4 linked regions of the Arabidopsis thaliana genome follow. The protein of the gene in region 1 interacts with the protein of each later gene in a pairwise test. Each region holds a gene or a part of one and is shown in the gene's direction. Other genes may lie near its edges.

Region 1 (4,884 bases):
CATACTTGTACCGATCATTATAAAAAATGTTTCTTAGTTTAGGATTCCGACTCATTGCATATAAATTCTTAACACTTTGTAATCGTATAGGCAGATTGTTTTGTTTTTTTTTCTGTGATTATCTAGTTTTTCTATATAAAATTTTATAAACAAAATGATCGTTTGAAGAATTAGAGCATATTTGTCATTTGTTATTTTGACTAATCCATCTCCATTCAAATTGTCCAATTATGTTTAGTCAAATGAGTTTGAAAATTTTGCCTAATTTAATCATCCAAATGAGCAAAAGAATAAAGCCACACATTACTTACTAATAATATTAAAGCCCACATTAAAATAATTTCTCACGTAAAAAACAAATACTTACACAAACCTATATAATCTAGACTCTACTTCACTTGTTTGCCCTAAACCATCTATCATCTCTCTTTCAATTCATCTACACCTTATTTTTATATTTCTCAAATACTTTTCGAGAAAATTATATACCCTTTTTAATATACGACGAATGAAATCGCAGGAAGATAATCTTCTACTTGTTCTTCTACTCGAGGGGATAAAAAATTACGGACTTAAGAGATGGGATAAGATACTAGCATCACTTCTTCTATCCCAGCGAAGTATCGCTAAATGTAAAAAAAAATTCTAATCTTTCGTTAAACGAAAGGTAAATTATTTTCTCGAAAAAATTTGTGTATAGAATTAAAGGTTTTCTTTAGTCAATAGCTAATCAATCTTATCATTTATTTTCTACTAGTTTCTTATTTGCACAATACATTTGAGAAAATTATGTTATGTTTTCAAGAGTTTTGGGTTTTTGTAGAGTATTAGATAAAATCAATATTTTCTCTCTTGAGACTAGTTTCTTCTTTGCACCATACATTTGTGTTCTTTTTCATTTTCTCAAAGCTGTTTGTTTTACCGAATTTTCTCTTGGGTTGTGGAGAATATTTTTTTTTTTTAGTTTTTATAACACCTTATCTTATATAAAAACAAAAGAGTTTGTTTTTACAAGGGATGATGGATGATGAATCTATAGATGGTCGTAGTACCACACTCTCTATGGACTCAAGTTGTGGAGAATCTTTTTTTTTTTAGTTTTTATAACACCTTATTTGATATAGAAACAAATGATTTTGTTCTTACAAGAGATGATGGATGATGAATCTATAGATGGTCGTACCACATTCTCTATGCACCCTATGAATCAAGTTGTGGAATCAATCAAAGTTGGCCACATATAGTTATGAAATGATTTTGTGATAAAAACACAAATTAATTTCTATGTGAATCACAAAGAAAATATATATATATATATATAATTCCCATTTGAAGTTTAAGCACAGACCTTAGAAAAATATGTAAACAAAGCCGATGTCTATAGTCCAATAAAAACAAATTTCGCCGGGAAAAGGAATATAAAAAATTTGTCACATTTACCAAAAAATAATAGGAGAGTTTATATAGTTTCAACGTACAATTAATGATCTAGGTTATCGAGTTTTAATTTCCATTTCTCCTAATTTTGCTGACTTGAGCTACATATTATTGAGCATTCTTGTTCTTTCAGGGTTTATAGAGAGATTGGCTGATAATTACTGTTTGTTATCTGAGTCCCCAAACGATTTACTGATATCAACAACGTATTGATGATGTATTGTTTTAGAAACACATATATGTAAAAAAAAAATTCTTGATTAGAGTGATATCAACAACTTGAGACATGGACAGGTAACAGGTTGATCCACAATTCTATCTTTACGTCATAATAATAACAAAAAATTCGTAAAAAGATGAGTTTTGTTAATTACTTCTCTTATTATAATCAAAGTTTTGATTTTTATTTTCCAATAAGTCGCCGGGAAAAGTAAAATAAAAAGCCGTCACGTCTCCGATAAATAATAGAGTATCGTTAGATAGGTAGCTTCAACGTAAGGAATCTAAATTGGTTCAGCTCAAAAAACGAAAACGATGGGTTCCATCGAAGAAGAAGCAAGACCTCTCATCGAAGAAGGTTTAATTTTACAGGTTTGTTCAATTTCAATTAATCACTTAGGTTAGCGAATTTTGATTTTACTCAATTCCAAAATCTTGACTTTAGATTGATCTTATGCATTTTCTTTCTGGGTTTATTGAGATCTTTTCTGGGCAATCACTGTTTTATCTAATTGATGATTCCAATGTTTGAATTTTGCAAGTAGATATAGATCAAAGTTTCGAGCTTTGATACAGTTATAGTTTAGTTAGCTAATCAAAAATGTTTTGTGAATTTGTTTTAAGTAGGAAGTGAAATTGTATGCTGAAGATGGTTCAGTGGACTTTAATGGAAACCCACCATTGAAGGAGAAAACAGGAAACTGGAAAGCTTGTCCTTTTATTCTTGGTAATGAATGTTGTGAGAGGCTAGCTTACTATGGTATTGCTGGGAATTTAATCACTTACCTCACCACTAAGCTTCACCAAGGAAATGTTTCTGCTGCTACAAACGTTACCACATGGCAAGGGACTTGTTATCTCACTCCTCTCATTGGAGCTGTTCTGGCTGATGCTTACTGGGGACGTTACTGGACCATCGCTTGTTTCTCCGGGATTTATTTCATCGTAAGCATTGCTTCTCTGTGTAATGTTTGGTTTGGTTTGTTTGCTCCTGATTACTGATAGGTTTTTGTATTTGTTTAGGGGATGTCTGCGTTAACTCTTTCAGCTTCAGTTCCGGCATTGAAGCCAGCGGAATGTATTGGTGACTTTTGTCCATCTGCAACGCCAGCTCAGTATGCGATGTTCTTTGGTGGGCTTTACCTGATCGCTCTTGGAACTGGAGGTATCAAACCGTGTGTCTCATCCTTCGGTGCCGATCAGTTTGATGACACGGACTCTCGGGAACGAGTTAGAAAAGCTTCGTTCTTTAACTGGTTTTACTTCTCCATCAATATTGGAGCACTTGTGTCATCTAGTCTTCTAGTTTGGATTCAAGAGAATCGCGGGTGGGGTTTAGGGTTTGGGATACCAACAGTGTTCATGGGACTAGCCATTGCAAGTTTCTTCTTTGGCACACCTCTTTATAGGTTTCAGAAACCTGGAGGAAGCCCTATAACTCGGATTTCCCAAGTCGTGGTTGCTTCGTTCCGGAAATCGTCTGTCAAAGTCCCTGAAGACGCCACACTTCTGTATGAAACTCAAGACAAGAACTCTGCTATTGCTGGAAGTAGAAAAATCGAGCATACCGATGATTGCCAGTAAATATCCGCTTCATTGCTTTCCAGTAATGTATAGCTTTACTTGGTTTAACAAGTTATTCTGGTATGATGCAGGTATCTTGACAAAGCCGCTGTTATCTCAGAAGAAGAATCGAAATCCGGAGATTATTCCAACTCGTGGAGACTATGCACGGTTACGCAAGTCGAAGAACTCAAGATTCTGATCCGAATGTTCCCAATCTGGGCTTCTGGTATCATTTTCTCAGCTGTATACGCACAAATGTCCACAATGTTTGTTCAACAAGGCCGAGCCATGAACTGCAAAATTGGATCATTCCAGCTTCCTCCTGCAGCACTCGGGACATTCGACACAGCAAGCGTCATCATCTGGGTGCCGCTCTACGACCGGTTCATCGTTCCCTTAGCAAGAAAGTTCACAGGAGTAGACAAAGGATTCACTGAGATACAAAGAATGGGAATTGGTCTGTTTGTCTCTGTTCTCTGTATGGCAGCTGCAGCTATCGTCGAAATCATCCGTCTCCATATGGCCAACGATCTTGGATTAGTCGAGTCAGGAGCCCCAGTTCCCATATCCGTCTTGTGGCAGATTCCACAGTACTTCATTCTCGGTGCAGCCGAAGTATTCTACTTCATCGGTCAGCTCGAGTTCTTCTACGACCAATCTCCAGATGCAATGAGAAGCTTGTGCAGTGCCTTGGCTCTTTTGACCAATGCACTTGGTAACTACTTGAGCTCGTTGATCCTCACGCTCGTGACTTATTTTACAACAAGAAATGGGCAAGAAGGTTGGATTTCGGATAATCTCAATTCAGGTCATCTCGATTACTTCTTCTGGCTCTTGGCTGGTCTTAGCCTTGTGAACATGGCGGTTTACTTCTTCTCTGCTGCTAGGTATAAGCAAAAGAAAGCTTCGTCGTAGTAATGCTGTTATCTATCTACTTTCATTACATACAAAAGTTTGTTTCTTTCAACTGTAACTGTCTCTGTATCAATAACAACATTGCTGTGTACTTTTCCTTTCAATTTCAAAAGTTTAAGTCGCATTTGCAATATTATAAACAATTCAGGGTTCGAATACTAAATTGAGAGAAATTGTCCATAGGCTTAGTAAATCAAATGGGCTTTTGGCCCATATCAAACGGGCACAAATATGACCCGGAGAAGAAGAATGTTCCGGGTCAATAAAATCGAAGAAGAAGAAGAGAGTATCGTTGTGAGGTTTGGGGATCGCGAAAATGGAGGTTCCAGGTTCATCGAAGAAGATGATCGCAACGCAAGAAGAGATGTCTGCAGCTAAAATAGCACTTGGATCTAGAGATATGTGCGCTCATCTCTTGATTCCGCTCAACAAATGTCGTCAGGCTGAGTTTTACCTTCCATGGAAATGTGAAGACGAGCGTCACGTTTATGAGAAGTGTGAATACGAGCTTGTTATGGAGAGAATGCTTGCGATGAAGAAGATCCGTGAAGAAGAAGCTTTGGCTAAACAGAATAAACTACAAGGAAACGCTGCTGTTCCTCTTATCCCTAAAACTGCTAATGCTTAGGATTCGATTCCTTCTCCAATTTGCCGATTCCAGATTCCGGTTAGTCTATAGTTTTTCGATTTCTTGTGTTTTGGTTGATTTGATTGAATTGGTTTGTTTCTTCTGCTACATGATCAGAT
Region 2 (4,302 bases), on another chromosome or scaffold:
AAAATGTTGAAATCTGGGGTTTGATTTTGGTATTTCAGGAGACACAAGATCTAGGATTTCCTTTATTTAGAGACGAGGGATTCTATGGCTAACACTGCCTGCTTTATCATTGTGGGCCGGAATGATATTCCCATCTATGAAGCTGAAGTTGGATCTGCTGCTAAAGTACATTTCTTTCTCCACTTTCTCTATTTGTATGAATCTGAGTCATTGAAGTTTATAGTACATGTTCCTGCAGTTTTGCTCCGTTCTGGCTCCAGCTCTTTCTTTTTGACTTAGTTTCATGGTCATAGTATAGCTCTCTAGATTTAACCCACGGGAGAGGTGCAAAGTTCATTTATTAATTGTCACCGTTGTTTATTTGGCTAGTGATATGAAAAGGGTTGCTATATCCATTGTTTAAATTATTTTTGGTCGAGGAACGTTTCAACCTGTTTTACATAACCAAGCAAGCAGGCCTTGTTCTTACTAGATAATTCTAATAATATAGTTCTATAAGATCTTCTATTGCTTATTGCATGACTCATTGGTTTCTGGTCTATCACATAGTTATTTATCCTTTCTTACTGACGGAAGTTTTCCTGTTTTTGTCTTGATCTTTTCATCTAGCTGGTAGATATATGTTTCAACCAATTGGTATGTGGTCTAGTCGATAAGTGCACATCAGTCTCTTACACCATTCTCTCTATTTGGCAGAGAGAAGATGCTGCACAGTTGCACCAATTTATATTACATGCAGCGTTAGATGTTGTCCAAGACCTAGCATGGACTACAAGTGCCATGTAAGTAAAGTCTCTTGTGAAAATATATTATCATTTTAAAGGATCCATCTCATTGTCATACAAGTCTTCAGGTTCTTGAAGTCAGTGGACAGGTTTAACGATCTGGTTGTGTCAGTATATGTTACCGCAGGCCATATCCTTTTTCGTTAGACCCTTTGAGATTTAAGTGCAAATAAAAATTTGATGTAAAAAGTGTCAGGCTGGTATATTGGCTTTTGTGCATAACAGATTCTTATGCAGTTGTAAATATCTGTTTCTTCCTTAATTTATCAACACATACCCGACTGATGCTCCTTCATGATTCACGGAATGAGGACGGCATCAAGAGCTTCTTTCAAGAGGTGCATGAGCTTTATATAAAGGTAAATTTTCTTGATGAAATGAATTCGCAGTTGTTTGTTCTGTCCTGATTTTGTTGATGGAAACCAAATGATTTGTTCATGCAGATTCTTCTGAATCCCTTGTATCTTCCTGGTTCTCGGATAACGTCGTCACATTTTGACACCAAAGTACGTGCACTTGCAAGAAAGTACCTGTAGAGAAGACGGAGATTCTGTTTGCATTTGGTGATCAAATTTTTCTTGTACCCATATCGCATAGTTCCCAAGTCAATTGTTTCTGTTTTCTTTTTGAGTGCCTGGATTTCTGTTATTTCTAACTTGCAAGCAACATTTTAATAAGAATGGGATTCCTTGTTTAGTATGAGTAATGAATGATCCATTCAATCCAAAATAATTTCATCTTTGGTTGTTATTATAAAGTCTCTCTTTTCCTCAGAATCTATTGGAAAACAAGCGTACATGTACGATGTATATCTTTCTGAAACATGACCAAACGCCTAACATAAGTTAATGTGACACTTTTAATTGCTAATCCGCAATTAATTAGGTACTTTATTGAAGTTTAAAAAGACGATTAATCAATTAATAAAGAGGCCACATGTGAAGTAAAAGCACCAATCGGAAGATAGAAGTTTCCCAAAACTTATCAAATCTCTGTGTATCGCTCGCCGACGAGGCAGGAAGGACGACCAATTGAGACGTTGACCCTTAATCCGATTTGAACAATCTCTCTCTCTCTCTCTCTCTCTCTCTCTTGGTCGAGATTCATAAAAGTCTCTTCTTTCGTCTTCTTCGATCTCGGATAATCACAAAGTTTATCTTCTTCTTTCTTTTTTAAAAATAAAATCAGAGAGCAGATCTTGCGAATGGATAGCAGTTACTCTGTCATTTCCAAAACTTCTTACGTTGAGTTACAGAAACCGACGGTTAATGGGAAACCCAGAAACAAGTTGCTTCCTTCTGATGAAGAAAGCTTCGTCAATGATTTTGACGATGCCCGTAATGGTGTTGGGGGTGAAGATGCTGATGATCTCGATTTCGATGTCGCTGATTACCCACTCGTTCATGGCAAATCATCCAATCAAGGATCTGGGATTTACGGTGCTGTTTTCAATCTCACCACTTCTATTATCGGCGCCGGGATCATGGCATTGCCCGCCACCATGAAAGTTCTCGGCTTGGTTCTAGGGTTTGTTTTGATTATCCTCATGGCTCTTTTGTCTGAGATTAGTGTTGAGCTTCTGGTTAGATTTTCTGTTCTTTACAAGTCCAAATCCTACGGCGAGGTTGTTCAATTCGCTTTGGGGAAAACCGCTAGGGTTTTGTCTGAGATTTGTATCATTGTCAACAATGGTGGCGTTCTCGTTGTTTACTTGATTATTATGGGCGATGTTATGTCTGGTTCTCTCCATCACATTGGGGTTTTGGATCAATGGTTAGGGAATGGGTTCTGGGATCACCGTAAAGTGTTGATTTTGATTGTTATGGTCATCTTCTTGGCTCCTCTCTGTGCTTTGAACAAGATTGATTCCTTGAGCGTTACATCAGCTGCTTCTGTTGCTCTTGCTGTTGTCTTTGTGGTTGTCTGTTTTGTTGTCGCCACCATCAAGCTTATCGAAGGAACTATCGACCCTCCAAGGTTGTCTCCTGACTTTGGTTCCAAACAAGCAATTTTGGACCTTCTTGTGGTCATTCCGATTATGTCAAACGCATACGTTTGTCACTTCAATGTTCAGCCGATATACAACGAGCTTGAAGGTCGATCACCTCATAAGATGAACCGAGTTGGGAGAATCACAACAGCCATTTGTGTTGTTGTCTACGCTTCAACTGCTGTATCGGGTTATCTCCTCTTCGGCAAGGACACCGAATCAGATATCTTGACCAACTTTGATCAAGATCTCGGTATCCGGTTCAGCTCTGCGGTGAATTACATTGTCAGAATCGGCTACATTCTTCATCTAGTTCTCGTCTTCCCTGTGATCCATTTCTCCTTGAGAGAAACCGTCAATACCTTACTGTTTGAAGGCTCGCCTCCTCTATCCGAAAGCAAAAAGAGATCTTTGGGACTCACTGTGGTCTTGCTGGCTCTTATTTACATTGGCTCAACGATGATACCAAACATATGGACTGCTTTCAAATTCACAGGCGCAACATCAGCTGTTTCACTTGGTTTTACATTCCCTGCTCTGATCGCATTGCGGTTAGGGAAACAGAGCAATTCGTTAAGCTTCGTGGAAAGATCAGTGTCATGGCTGATGCTAATCTTGGCCGTAGTGGTTAGCATTGTTGGAACCATTGGCAACATTTACAGCCTCGAGAGCAAATCAGATTGATACTTATAGCAGTTTTCCAGGATCTTGTAGATTTATATAGTCAGAGATTCTCAGTCCAATACCGAACCGGAAATCTTCAGCGACTGCTACATGCACCTTTAGGATGTCGATCAATGGCGTTTGTTCAGGCTAAGCCTAAAGATTTCCGGTTTGTGAATTATATGTATACAGACACCTGATTCTTATGATTTTATTATATATACGCATTTTTTTTCTGTTTTTCTTAACAGAAAATCTCCTCCTTTTTTTTCTGGCTGCGAATCATTCTTTTATGTGTTCATGGATCGTTTGTGGACTGATGTTAGTAGATGAATTTAGTTTGAAAAACCGAGTTGGTCTACTCTTAACCAGAATTAGGTACCTGAAATAACCAATGAATATATTAAGGTGGTTGTTAGAATCATTCGGACTGGTACTATTGAAATGAAAGCAAAGTAACGAAACTTAAGTTAGACTCAAAGGTTATCACTAAAGATCTCTAATACCCAACTTAAATACACCTCTGATCCGTGTGCCTTTAAAAAATGGTATAATTATATGTTGATCCAACGACTTTGCCTCGGATTTGTCTAAGCAAAACTTCTAATTCAGTTCTTACATGGTATACTAAAAAATAGATCATTATCAGTAGATGGCATACAATGTGGGCAAACCGAAACTAGAAGTGGAAGCTAGTGACTGGTAAGTGCATATGAACAATATCTTTTAAATTCCACATGCGCATGACCCGTGATCACCAATCGTGTCTTCCATTTGATCTATATTATTATTATTTTTATATGAACTATAAGCTTCTAAGTATATAAATATTAATTTATCGAATATTCTGATTGTGATAGATGA
Region 3 (5,785 bases), on another chromosome or scaffold:
AGCAACTTTTCTACTGATTTATTGATTAACAGTGAAGGGTATTGAATAAATAGGAGAAGAAGGAGATAGAAGACACTAACCAGTGAGTGTTTGCCATGGACTTTTAGATCTTTGAGCAAAGAGTTGAGTAGACAGCAACTGGATCAAAATAAGAGCTAAAAATAGAAACTTTGAAGCTTGTAAGACATGCATTGTTGGATTATCTCGCATGTTTATCATCTGTAACAACCTGAGTTGTCCCGGCGGCGACTTCACCAACTTCGACCAAAAACTGAGATTTACTCAGAGAGAGAGAGAGAGAGAGAGAGAGAGAGAGCTTTTTGGTTTGTGGGATTCGAATTTATATGATCGTTGATTATTTTAAAAGGGAAAACAAAAGAACTTCGACTTTTTGTTTTTGACACATTTTTCCACTTTAAAAAGAAAACATCAACTAAAATTTTATTTTTTTGGTTTTTCATAAATAAACTAAAATGTTTTTCAATGTGTCTCCATATCTTTATTGCAGACAGAAAATATTGGGAGTGTAATTTTGACTCAATTTTTTTTTGAGAATACAAGAGTTTAATTTTCATGGGATAACTAAATAAGTTTTATTTTAAATTAGAATATAATTTTTTGATTGGTTGTCTCCAACCTAGAGAAACCAAACAATTGTTTTACATATATTTGTGTATTTATTTTTTATAGTTATGCGTTCTTCATTTATTACGACCTACTCTCTCTTTGTTTTTCTTTATTACTACCTACTTGTTTCCAAAACCAGCTAAACTATAAGCAAGCATAATAATAAACTATATAATGCATGCAATTGCAATATACATGTGTCAATCATTGGTCTTGTTATAATTAGGATTAGTGTAGAAACGGCTATTAGATATCAATTATATCCCTGCAATTTCTCCCTTAATCACTCCTATAGTAATTGGTGTATATCTGTTTTCCTCTACGGTACCAACAAATAAAAAGTCTACTGCGGGGAACGTATTTGTTTTTCTTGTTTCCTCTTCTCTTCTCTGTATATAAGAAAAATTGTATCATTCTAGTGATACTACCCATTACCCAATACGCATTCCAATAATGGCTACATTTACATATATGATATATGCATATACATATCACATATGAGCAGATTTATTATTTATCTAATATACACATTATATATCCGAATTCTATGTTTTCACGTTAATTATAATATTTACAAGTTTCTTAATTTATATTATAGCTATAATGATACTAGTATCTTAAAAAATGTTGAGAAGGCGGTGGTGGATGATCGATTAAAAGTCAGGTAGGTCCTAGAACATGGTCGTTAAAGATTACACGTGGTGAAATAGGTCGCTGAGTCACTTTTTACGTCATCAAAACACGACCAAACGAAACGATCACGTTCTAGCGTCTTGGCTGTTGCAACCGGGACCGTTACTCAGTAGAGTGTTTTATTTCGATTGGTTCGAGTCTTCACCAAATAATTCGTTGTAATAAATATTGAGTTTTCAAGTTTCATAATTTTATATAAACAGAATAAAGAACAAGAGGTAAAAATAAATTAAGGAAAAAGAACAACAATTTACGCGAGTTAGTTAGACCCAAAAAAGAAAAAAGAAAAAAATCCCCAAATCCGGTAAGAAAAAAATACATGATGAGTTAGTTTTGGGCCCTAAAAAGGCCCAAGATGCAGTACAATTCCAAAAAGCCTCACGTTTACTCAGTCTGATGACGTTGGAAACATGCCACGTGTCTTTCGTCTCCTCGCCACCTGTAACCACCGCCTTGTTCATCGCAGTTCAAATCTCTCCTCACTCTCTGACTCTTTCCTCGTCTCTCTCTCTATCGTTCTCTGTGTGCCTTCTTCGTTTGCGATTGGTGTTTTCAAAATCGACGAAATCGAAAACATTATCGAGTGAAAAATGAGTATCGGATTAACAGAGTTTGTGACGAATAAACTAGCAGCTGAGCATCCTCAGGTGATACCAATCTCAGTGTTCATCGCCATTCTCTGTCTATGTTTAGTTATCGGCCACTTGCTTGAAGAGAATCGATGGGTTAATGAATCTATTACCGCCATTTTAGTAGTAATTTTCTTCAAAATTTCTTCTTTTTTTTGTTTTAGCTAAAGTTTTGAGCTTTTCTGCTCTTAAAGAACAATTTTATCACTATTTTTGATTGGTTTTGTTGCAAGTAGGGAGCAGCATCAGGAACAGTGATCTTACTTATTAGTAAAGGAAAAAGTTCACATATTTTGGTGTTTGATGAAGAACTCTTCTTCATTTACCTTCTTCCTCCAATAATCTTCAATGCTGGGTAAGCTTACTATGGTTTTGGTTACTATGTTGTGGTTAATGGGTTAGATTACACTATGATGGTGATTGACTGAAGATTTTTTGGTTTGTTGTGGCAGGTTCCAAGTTAAGAAAAAGAAGTTTTTTCACAACTTTTTAACCATCATGTCCTTTGGTGTGATTGGAGTTTTCATCTCCACTGTCATTATCTCGTTTGGTAAAAAATATTTCATTAATCTTTGAATGACTTGACTATATGATTTAAAGTTGATTATCTCGGAGTTGTTACCATCTCTATTTTTGTTGTTTTTATAATGTGAACCAGGGACTTGGTGGCTGTTTCCCAAGTTGGGATTTAAGGGGTTGAGTGCTAGAGACTATCTTGGTAAGATTTTTCACTGATCTATGTTTCTTTTCATTTCTTGTTGAGATGGTTATTACTTATCAGTTTGCGAGAGTGAATGCTTTCTTGTTTTGATTCAGCCATAGGAACGATTTTCTCATCAACTGATACTGTTTGCACTCTACAGGTTCTTGATTTAGAAGATTCTTTGTCTTACTACTTCTTCTATTAAAAGTTTTTTCTTACATTGCATCTTAAACTTTTACAGATTCTCCATCAAGATGAAACACCATTGCTATACAGCTTAGTCTTTGGAGAAGGAGTGGTGAATGATGCAACCTCAGTTGTACTGTTCAACGCCGTGCAAAAGATTCAATTTGAAAGCCTAACCGGTTGGACGGCGCTGCAAGTATTTGGGAACTTTTTGTACCTCTTCTCAACAAGCACACTTCTCGGAATTGGTGTAAGCTATTGAGTTGGCATAGTTTTTTACTCTGTTTGAAGCATATCATGAGTAATCTTAGAACTGTGAATGTCTTGCAGGTGGGGCTAATAACATCTTTTGTTCTTAAAACCTTGTATTTTGGAAGGTAAAAGTACACCAAACTTGCAAATTTTTCATCTCAAGCTTAAGTTTTTTTTTTTTAGTGATAAGATGTGCCTTTATATTGATCTTGTTATATGGTTGCTGACAGACATTCTACTACACGCGAACTCGCCATCATGGTTCTAATGGCTTACCTTTCATATATGTTGGCTGAGGTAATACACTGGTCATGAACGCTACTTTTTAGTTTTCATTTGGAATTGAAGTGCTGCATTTCTCTGTTTTAACTCAATATAGTTGTTCTCTTGCAGCTCTTCTCATTAAGTGGAATTCTTACTGTTTTCTTCTGTGGTGTTTTAATGTCGCATTATGCATCATATAACGTGACAGAGAGCTCAAGAATCACTTCCAGGCAATGTATCAGACAATTGTTTATTCGCTGAAGTCTCAATTTGCAGGAATTGCTTTTGTCTGACTGTGCATCTATATTTTGCAGGCATGTATTTGCAATGTTGTCCTTTATTGCGGAGACATTCATATTTCTGTATGTTGGAACAGATGCTCTTGATTTTACAAAGTGGAAGACAAGCAGCTTAAGGTATAAAGTCGTATCCATTTATCAGCTGGTAGAGCGTTTAGAGTGTTTTGTCAAAACAATACACAGCATTTTGATATGAACCTCGTGTATTTCTTAAATGCATACCTAGAATCAAGATTATCCCAAAGACATCCTCTATGTCTTCTTCTCTCTTGACACGAAGTTAATCGCCAATTAACTGTTAGTTAAGCTGTGGTGGTGACTCGTTGTTTCTGAAATCTCTTCCCAATGAAGACTTGTAACATTAATCATCTTCTTGCAGCTTTGGGGGTACTCTGGGTGTCTCCGGTGTCATAACCGCATTAGTATTGCTTGGACGAGCAGCATTTGTCTTTCCACTCTCGGTCTTAACAAATTTCATGAACAGGCACACTGAAAGAAACGAGTCTATCACATTTAAGCATCAGGTTTAGCTCTTGTTTGTTACAGTTACATTATCAGAAGCACTAAAATAAAAAATTAATAATGGTCCGAGAATGGGAAAGTTTCTGTTATATAATTCTCTCTTTGTATACTTTATAGGTGATCATTTGGTGGGCAGGTCTAATGCGAGGTGCTGTCTCAATTGCTCTGGCTTTCAAGCAGGTTTTTCTCTTTGCACATTCATATTATCTCTAATCTCTATTGTATTACTTTTACATTGAATTAGTAACATTTCCATTATATCTCATTTTGGTATATCTTTCATGTGCCAAGTTCACATACTCCGGTGTTACATTGGATCCTGTGAATGCTGCCATGGTCACCAACACCACTATCGTTGTTCTCTTTACTACACTGGTAAAACAAATACTACCTTAGTATATGGCCCTACTGGTTCTGGTAGTTTTCTGTGTTAAGATCAAAAGAATGACTTCTTTGTCATGTAACAAACAGGTCTTTGGTTTCCTCACAAAACCACTTGTGAATTATCTCCTTCCTCAAGATGCAAGTCACAACACCGGAAATAGAGGTAAACGCACTGAGCCAGGTTCTCCGAAAGAAGATGCGACACTTCCTCTTCTTTCCTTTGACGAGTCTGCTTCCACCAACTTCAATAGAGCTAAAGATAGTATTTCCCTTCTGATGGAACAACCTGTGTACACCATCCACCGCTACTGGAGAAAGTTTGACGACACATACATGAGGCCTATCTTCGGTGGACCTCGTCGAGAAAACCAACCAGAATGCTAGGTATACCCTCCATTATTACCACACAAATTTATACATTTTGCAGCAAACGCACCTCACTTGATCAATAATGTGTAACCGGAATTAATAAGTACATCCGGGAAGAGGTGCCTACAATATTCATCATGATAAGCGAACAATTCTCTCTTTTTGTGTTGCAGAATTGATCCGGGTTCTCCGCGGGGAAATCATGATGAGTTAGTTTTTTTTATAGTCAAGAAAGTAGGATAGTTGGTTTAGCTAAAACAGTTTCTTAAAGTTTTTGTTAAATGTATACAACAAGGTTCTTCTATATACACAAGCTGCGATTATTACTGCGAGTTTGTAATTTATTTGGATCGGAACATAAGACATATTGTAAGACTTCAGATCAGTTGCAGGACAAGTTCGAGTGAAGTCTGCTAGAACGGTCTGTCTCCATCTCAGTTCCTCAAAGCTGCACTTACAGAACAGCAAAACGTAAGCCTTTTTTACTTCATACTTCATATTGGGATCCTACTAGTCTACCGGTTTTTAGTATCTTAATGGTATTTTGATTTTACCTTGGCAAGCAGGAGGGATTGTTGTCAGGCCACATTTGCTCAGAAGAGCCTGGACTTTAGATGGGTAAACCGCTAAAACGGGGAGAACAGACTTGAATCTGCAGATGCATTTCAGATTAGCGGCTTGGAGGAGTTCACAACACTCTTTGATTGGAGATGGCGGGTTGTCTCCAATTACGGCTGGACGACATTTTTCCAGATGGTTTGCGTTGATGTTACATGCGGTAATGCTCGTAGGTTCTTCCATCAACACCAAGGCGGCTAAAACTATTGCAAGAGCTGCAAATTTCACAGTTCTGGTAT
Region 4 (4,572 bases), on another chromosome or scaffold:
CCTATTCATATAGTTAAAATAAGCGAATAGAGAGATAATTGAAACTACAGTGAAAATTAACAACAAATGGAACATACGTCCAAGTAGTTGAGACTTGAGGAGTAGAAAGACAACGTAAGGAGTTGACAAACATGTGAGCCATTTGAGACTAATTCACAGACAACTAAAATCCAAGAGTTATACTAGTAAATGCTTTGGTTATTTTAATATATTTTCAAGTCGTCTGCCCGTTGAAAACTGGAGAAAATGTATATAGAGTACTATTCAGCTCGAAGACAAAAATGTAGTGACTAAAATTAAAATGCTTAATTGGTCGGATAAACAATCCAAAATAAATGGGAAATGAGTTTTGAGTTGCGATCGTATCTTGCATTACAAGAAGCAAATTTTAGGGTTAAAGTTTCTGTCACATAACTCCGTTACACAATTCGCTTAATTTTGGATATTTGACAGAAACTAATTAATATGTAAACTTTAATATATATATTGGATTTTAGGCAATTTAACAACTAATTAGTGGCGGACAAATACTGATTATTTTCCCTTTATATATATATATATATATAATTGAATGCTTCTATATTTGTTATTTTGTTGTCACAATGTTTTTTTTTTTAAAAAATTAAATTTGATATCCTTCAGTCCATCACTAGTTAACAACATTGCCAAAATATACTATCTTTTCGTCGAAAAAAAAACTCACCATACAAACTAAGTGATTTTTCAGTAGTTTGTGATCAATGCAAAAATGATAAAATTAATTTAATGTTTACAAAGCTGATGTTGGGTCGAAAGACTTGGACGTCAAGGATAACATTTGGTTCTAAAATATATGGACGTGAAAGATAGCATACCATCTTTGGGACTGTTCGGATAAGAATGTGTGTGCATTAGTTTTGGAAAGTGTTTGGCCACTCGGATCTTTTTGTGATAATCTCCAGACTATGAATATTGCGGAAATATAATCCATGATCAGAGAATATTTGGCGATGCTTGATCCATGACCGTAATTGGAGCCGGATATGTTATGATTTGATCTACAACTATTATTACGCTAGATAAGCCAATTAATTATGGTAGGTGATCGTGAATATAACTTCACTGTCCGAAAAAGAATAGTGTATATGTTGCCCTGAACCATCTATCTCATTAGGTGCTATGAACTAGTGAGTTTTAAGTATAGAGGGTGCATATAAGTCGTTTTTCCATCTTAAATCAAAGACATTTCTTAGTATCTTCTAGATATTTCATTCTTTTAGTACCATATAAATTAGGGATTTGGACAATTCACAATTATTTATTTTAAACCAAACAAAATAATTGTTCTCCGATAATCAGATGTGACTTATGTGATATAGTACATATAAATATACACACTGTTTAAATTTGTCTACCCAATCGGAATCATAGAAACTTTATTGTTTACCCAAACAAAACGGTACTGAATATCGGAACTTTTTTTATTAAAAAAAAACTGTGAGAGAGAAATTGAATCAACGTCCAAGTCACTTGATGCAAGAAAAAAGCGAAACCAATTAAATTCCCGTAAAAACAGAACACAAAAGAACAGGAGAGTTAATGTTCTAACTGACACGTGTCCCTACCTTGCCATACACTCACACAATTAAAATTTCTAACTCTGTCTCTTATCCGAAAAATAATCATCTCCAAGTGTAATAAGAAAATCAAAATAAAACTCTCATTTCTTCTTCTTCCTCGCCTATAAATACAACTCCATTCTCTCATCTCCTACATCACAAAACAAAAACCTCACTTAAAAAAAAAAAACAGAAGACAGAAAAAAACAAAAAAAAAAAGAAAAAGAAAAATAAACAAATTTTCTTTTCTTTTTTTTCCTCTAAAGTTTCTATTTTGTCTATTCGTGTTTTTTTTTTTACTTCCTGATAATGGGAGCCTATGAAACAGAAAAACCAACTAAAGATGCGGCGGCTCTAGAGACACAGTCGCCGGAAGATTTCGATCAACCATCTCCGCTTCGTAAAATCATCTCCGTCGCTTCCATCGCCGCCGGTGTACAGTTCGGGTGGGCCTTACAGCTCTCTCTTCTTACTCCGTACGTTCAACTCCTCGGAATCCCTCACAAATGGTCATCTCTCATTTGGCTCTGTGGTCCAGTCTCCGGCATGATTGTTCAACCAATCGTCGGTTTCCACAGTGACCGATGTAGGTCCAAATTTGGTCGCCGTCGTCCTTTCATCGCCACCGGAGCCGCACTCGTCGCCGTCGCTGTTTTCCTCATCGGTTACGCTGCGGATTTCGGTTATAAAATGGGAGATAAACTCGAGGAGAAGGTTAAAGTTCGAGCTATAGGGATCTTTGCTCTCGGGTTCTGGATCCTCGACGTAGCCAACAACACCTTACAAGGACCTTGCCGTGCTTTCTTAGCCGACTTAGCCGCCGGTGACGCTAAGAGAACGCGAGTCGCAAACGCGTTTTTCTCTTTTTTTATGGCGGTTGGAAACGTTTTGGGTTATGCGGCTGGTTCGTACACTAACCTCCACAAGATGTTTCCGTTCACAATGACAAAAGCTTGCGATATCTATTGCGCCAATCTCAAGACTTGTTTCTTCTTATCCATCACTCTCCTCCTCATCGTCACCGTCACGTCTCTTTGGTACGTTAATGACAAACAATGGTCTCCGCCGCCGCGAAATGCCGACGACGACGAGAAGACCTCAAGCGTTCCTTTGTTCGGTGAAATCTTTGGAGCATTCAAAGTCATGAAACGTCCCATGTGGATGCTTCTAATCGTCACGGCCTTAAACTGGATCGCTTGGTTCCCATTTCTTTTGTTCGATACTGATTGGATGGGTCGTGAAGTGTTCGGTGGAGATTCAGATGGAAATGAACGATCGAAGAAACTATACAGTCTTGGAGTCCAATCTGGTGCAATGGGATTGATGTTTAACTCTATAGTTCTTGGTTTCATGTCACTTGGTGTTGAATGGATTGGTCGGAAATTAGGAGGAGCTAAACGGCTTTGGGGTATTGTCAATTTCATCCTAGCCGCTGGTTTGGCCATGACGGTTCTCGTTACGAAATTCGCCGAGGATCACCGGAAAACCGCCGGTGATTTAGCCGGACCGAGCGCTAGTGTTAAAGCTGGAGCTTTAAGTCTCTTTGCTGTTCTTGGTATCCCATTAGCTGTAAGTACACTTTTGTGTTGTCTTGTTAAAAAACTTTTTGCTTTGCTTAAACTAACATTAATCGATTCGTTTTTTATTATTTACAGATTACTTTCAGTACTCCTTTTGCTCTAGCATCCATATTCTCAAGCTGCTCCGGTGCAGGCCAAGGTAAATATATACATCTTTAATATTAAAGTTACTAAAGTTACAAATATGTGGGACCGTAACTATTATATTTTGGTTTCATCCACCTTATGCAATTATAACATAGGTATTTAAATTGTTTTTGTGATGTTTTGATTTACAGGACTTTCATTAGGAGTTTTAAATTTGGCGATTGTGATACCACAAATGATAGTCTCACTAGGAGGTGGACCTTTCGACGCCTTGTTCGGCGGTGGAAACTTACCGGCGTTTATCGTTGCAGCAATTGCAGCGGCGATTAGTGGAGTATTAGCGTTAACCGTTTTACCTTCACCACCACCGGACGCACCCAAGGCAACGACCATGGGAGGATTCCACTAGTTTACTATTTTTTTTTTTTAATGAAACTCATCAAATACAGTATTACTGTGCGAAACTGCAAAAACCCAAATAAAAGAAAAGAATGGATAAAATGATAAAATCTAATAAACCTTGGGTCGTCTGTATTTCACCCTTTTTTAGTTTTTTTTCTTCTTTTTTTATAACTTTTGTCACTTATTTTAATTTGAAATAGAATGTTTTTTTTTTTTGCCCTTAAATAAGATTTGTGTGTTGAGTACAATTGTTTACTGTTTGCTTCGGTAGAACAAATATCCAACTAGAAAGTAATTCCCTCTACCCTCAGAAAAGAAAATTTTGATAATAATGTATGGCAATTCTTTTATATATAGGGAACAAGTTGAACAATTTATGTAGTTTAGAACGGTTTAGGCGATAAATAACCATTAATAATACCAGTTAAATTAATTAATATGATTAATAATTTTAAAAATACTTATTAATAAATATTAAAACAATTCTCATGTAAGTACATAAAATATAAACCTAGAAGATATTAAAATATTAAATATTAAATAAGAAACCTTAAATATTCTTGCAAACAACTAGTCCAATCAATATGACATTTTTGTATTCTATAAACACACTGTATTATAATATAAACTATACAGTATGTTTCTTAGCACAGTATGACACTTAACAACTTGATGATTTATACTAGGCAACAACCAATGTTTTTGAAGATCATACAATATCATTTATAAGTATATCATTTTTTATATTACAAAATGAAAGATTGTTTTGGTCAACAATATGCGGGCTTGAACCCTCAGTGGCGATACAACATTTTACATATCTATATATAAGTTTTTTCCACCAATTTTTAGAATATTTGCCTAAAATATAAGAATGTTTATACTGCTTAATTAGTGAGTAAGAA

Evidence for each region.
Region 2: the proteins of PTR2 (region 1) and AT1G80510 interact in a protein complementation assay, tested with the Arabidopsis thaliana proteins (one large-scale study listed by BioGRID).
Region 3: the proteins of PTR2 (region 1) and NHX3 interact in a protein complementation assay, tested with the Arabidopsis thaliana proteins (one large-scale study listed by BioGRID).
Region 4: the proteins of PTR2 (region 1) and SUC1 interact in a protein complementation assay, tested with the Arabidopsis thaliana proteins (one large-scale study listed by BioGRID).

Annotation. Positions count from the first base shown.
Region 1 is NC_003071.7:485,571-490,454, forward strand, and holds PTR2 (peptide transporter 2), read left to right. Parts: upstream 1-1,827; 5' UTR 1,828-1,971; coding exon 1,972-2,028; intron 2,029-2,283; coding exon 2,284-2,601; intron 2,602-2,679; coding exon 2,680-3,236; intron 3,237-3,311; coding exon 3,312-4,137; 3' UTR 4,138-4,371; downstream 4,372-4,884. Other genes in the region: AT2G02050 (NADH-ubiquinone oxidoreductase B18 subunit), read left to right, coding at 4,454-4,765. UniProt on the Arabidopsis thaliana protein: Peptide transporter. Mediates the transport of di- and tripeptides. High affinity, low capacity transporter. Can also transport histidine.
Region 2 is NC_003070.9:30,271,111-30,275,412, forward strand, and holds AT1G80510 (Transmembrane amino acid transporter family protein), read left to right. Parts: upstream 1-1,738; 5' UTR 1,739-1,989; coding exon 1,990-3,459; 3' UTR 3,460-3,781; downstream 3,782-4,302. Other genes in the region: AT1G80500 (SNARE-like superfamily protein), read left to right, coding at 85-165, 697-782, 854-915, 1,059-1,144, 1,229-1,321.
Region 3 is NC_003076.8:22,468,711-22,474,495, reverse strand, and holds NHX3 (Na+/H+ (sodium hydrogen) exchanger 3), read left to right. Parts: upstream 1-1,789; 5' UTR 1,790-1,910; coding exon 1,911-2,075; intron 2,076-2,185; coding exon 2,186-2,304; intron 2,305-2,401; coding exon 2,402-2,499; intron 2,500-2,607; coding exon 2,608-2,667; intron 2,668-2,765; coding exon 2,766-2,812; intron 2,813-2,893; coding exon 2,894-3,088; intron 3,089-3,168; coding exon 3,169-3,215; intron 3,216-3,320; coding exon 3,321-3,387; intron 3,388-3,483; coding exon 3,484-3,584; intron 3,585-3,668; coding exon 3,669-3,770; intron 3,771-4,032; coding exon 4,033-4,177; intron 4,178-4,292; coding exon 4,293-4,355; intron 4,356-4,466; coding exon 4,467-4,550; intron 4,551-4,646; coding exon 4,647-4,943; intron 4,944-5,101; 3' UTR 5,102-5,251; downstream 5,252-5,785. Other genes in the region: SVL1 (SHV3-like 1), read right to left, coding at 81-219; AT5G55460 (Bifunctional inhibitor/lipid-transfer protein/seed storage 2S albumin superfamily protein), read right to left, coding at 5,363-5,376, 5,483-5,785. UniProt on the Arabidopsis thaliana protein: May act in low affinity electroneutral exchange of protons for cations such as Na(+) or K(+) across membranes. May also exchange Li(+) and Cs(+) with a lower affinity.
Region 4 is NC_003070.9:27,052,427-27,056,998, forward strand, and holds SUC1 (sucrose-proton symporter 1), read left to right. Parts: upstream 1-1,603; 5' UTR 1,604-1,907; coding exon 1,908-3,167; intron 3,168-3,253; coding exon 3,254-3,317; intron 3,318-3,456; coding exon 3,457-3,674; 3' UTR 3,675-4,038; downstream 4,039-4,572. UniProt on the Arabidopsis thaliana protein: Responsible for the transport of sucrose into the cell, with the concomitant uptake of protons (symport system). This transport is both voltage- and energy-dependent.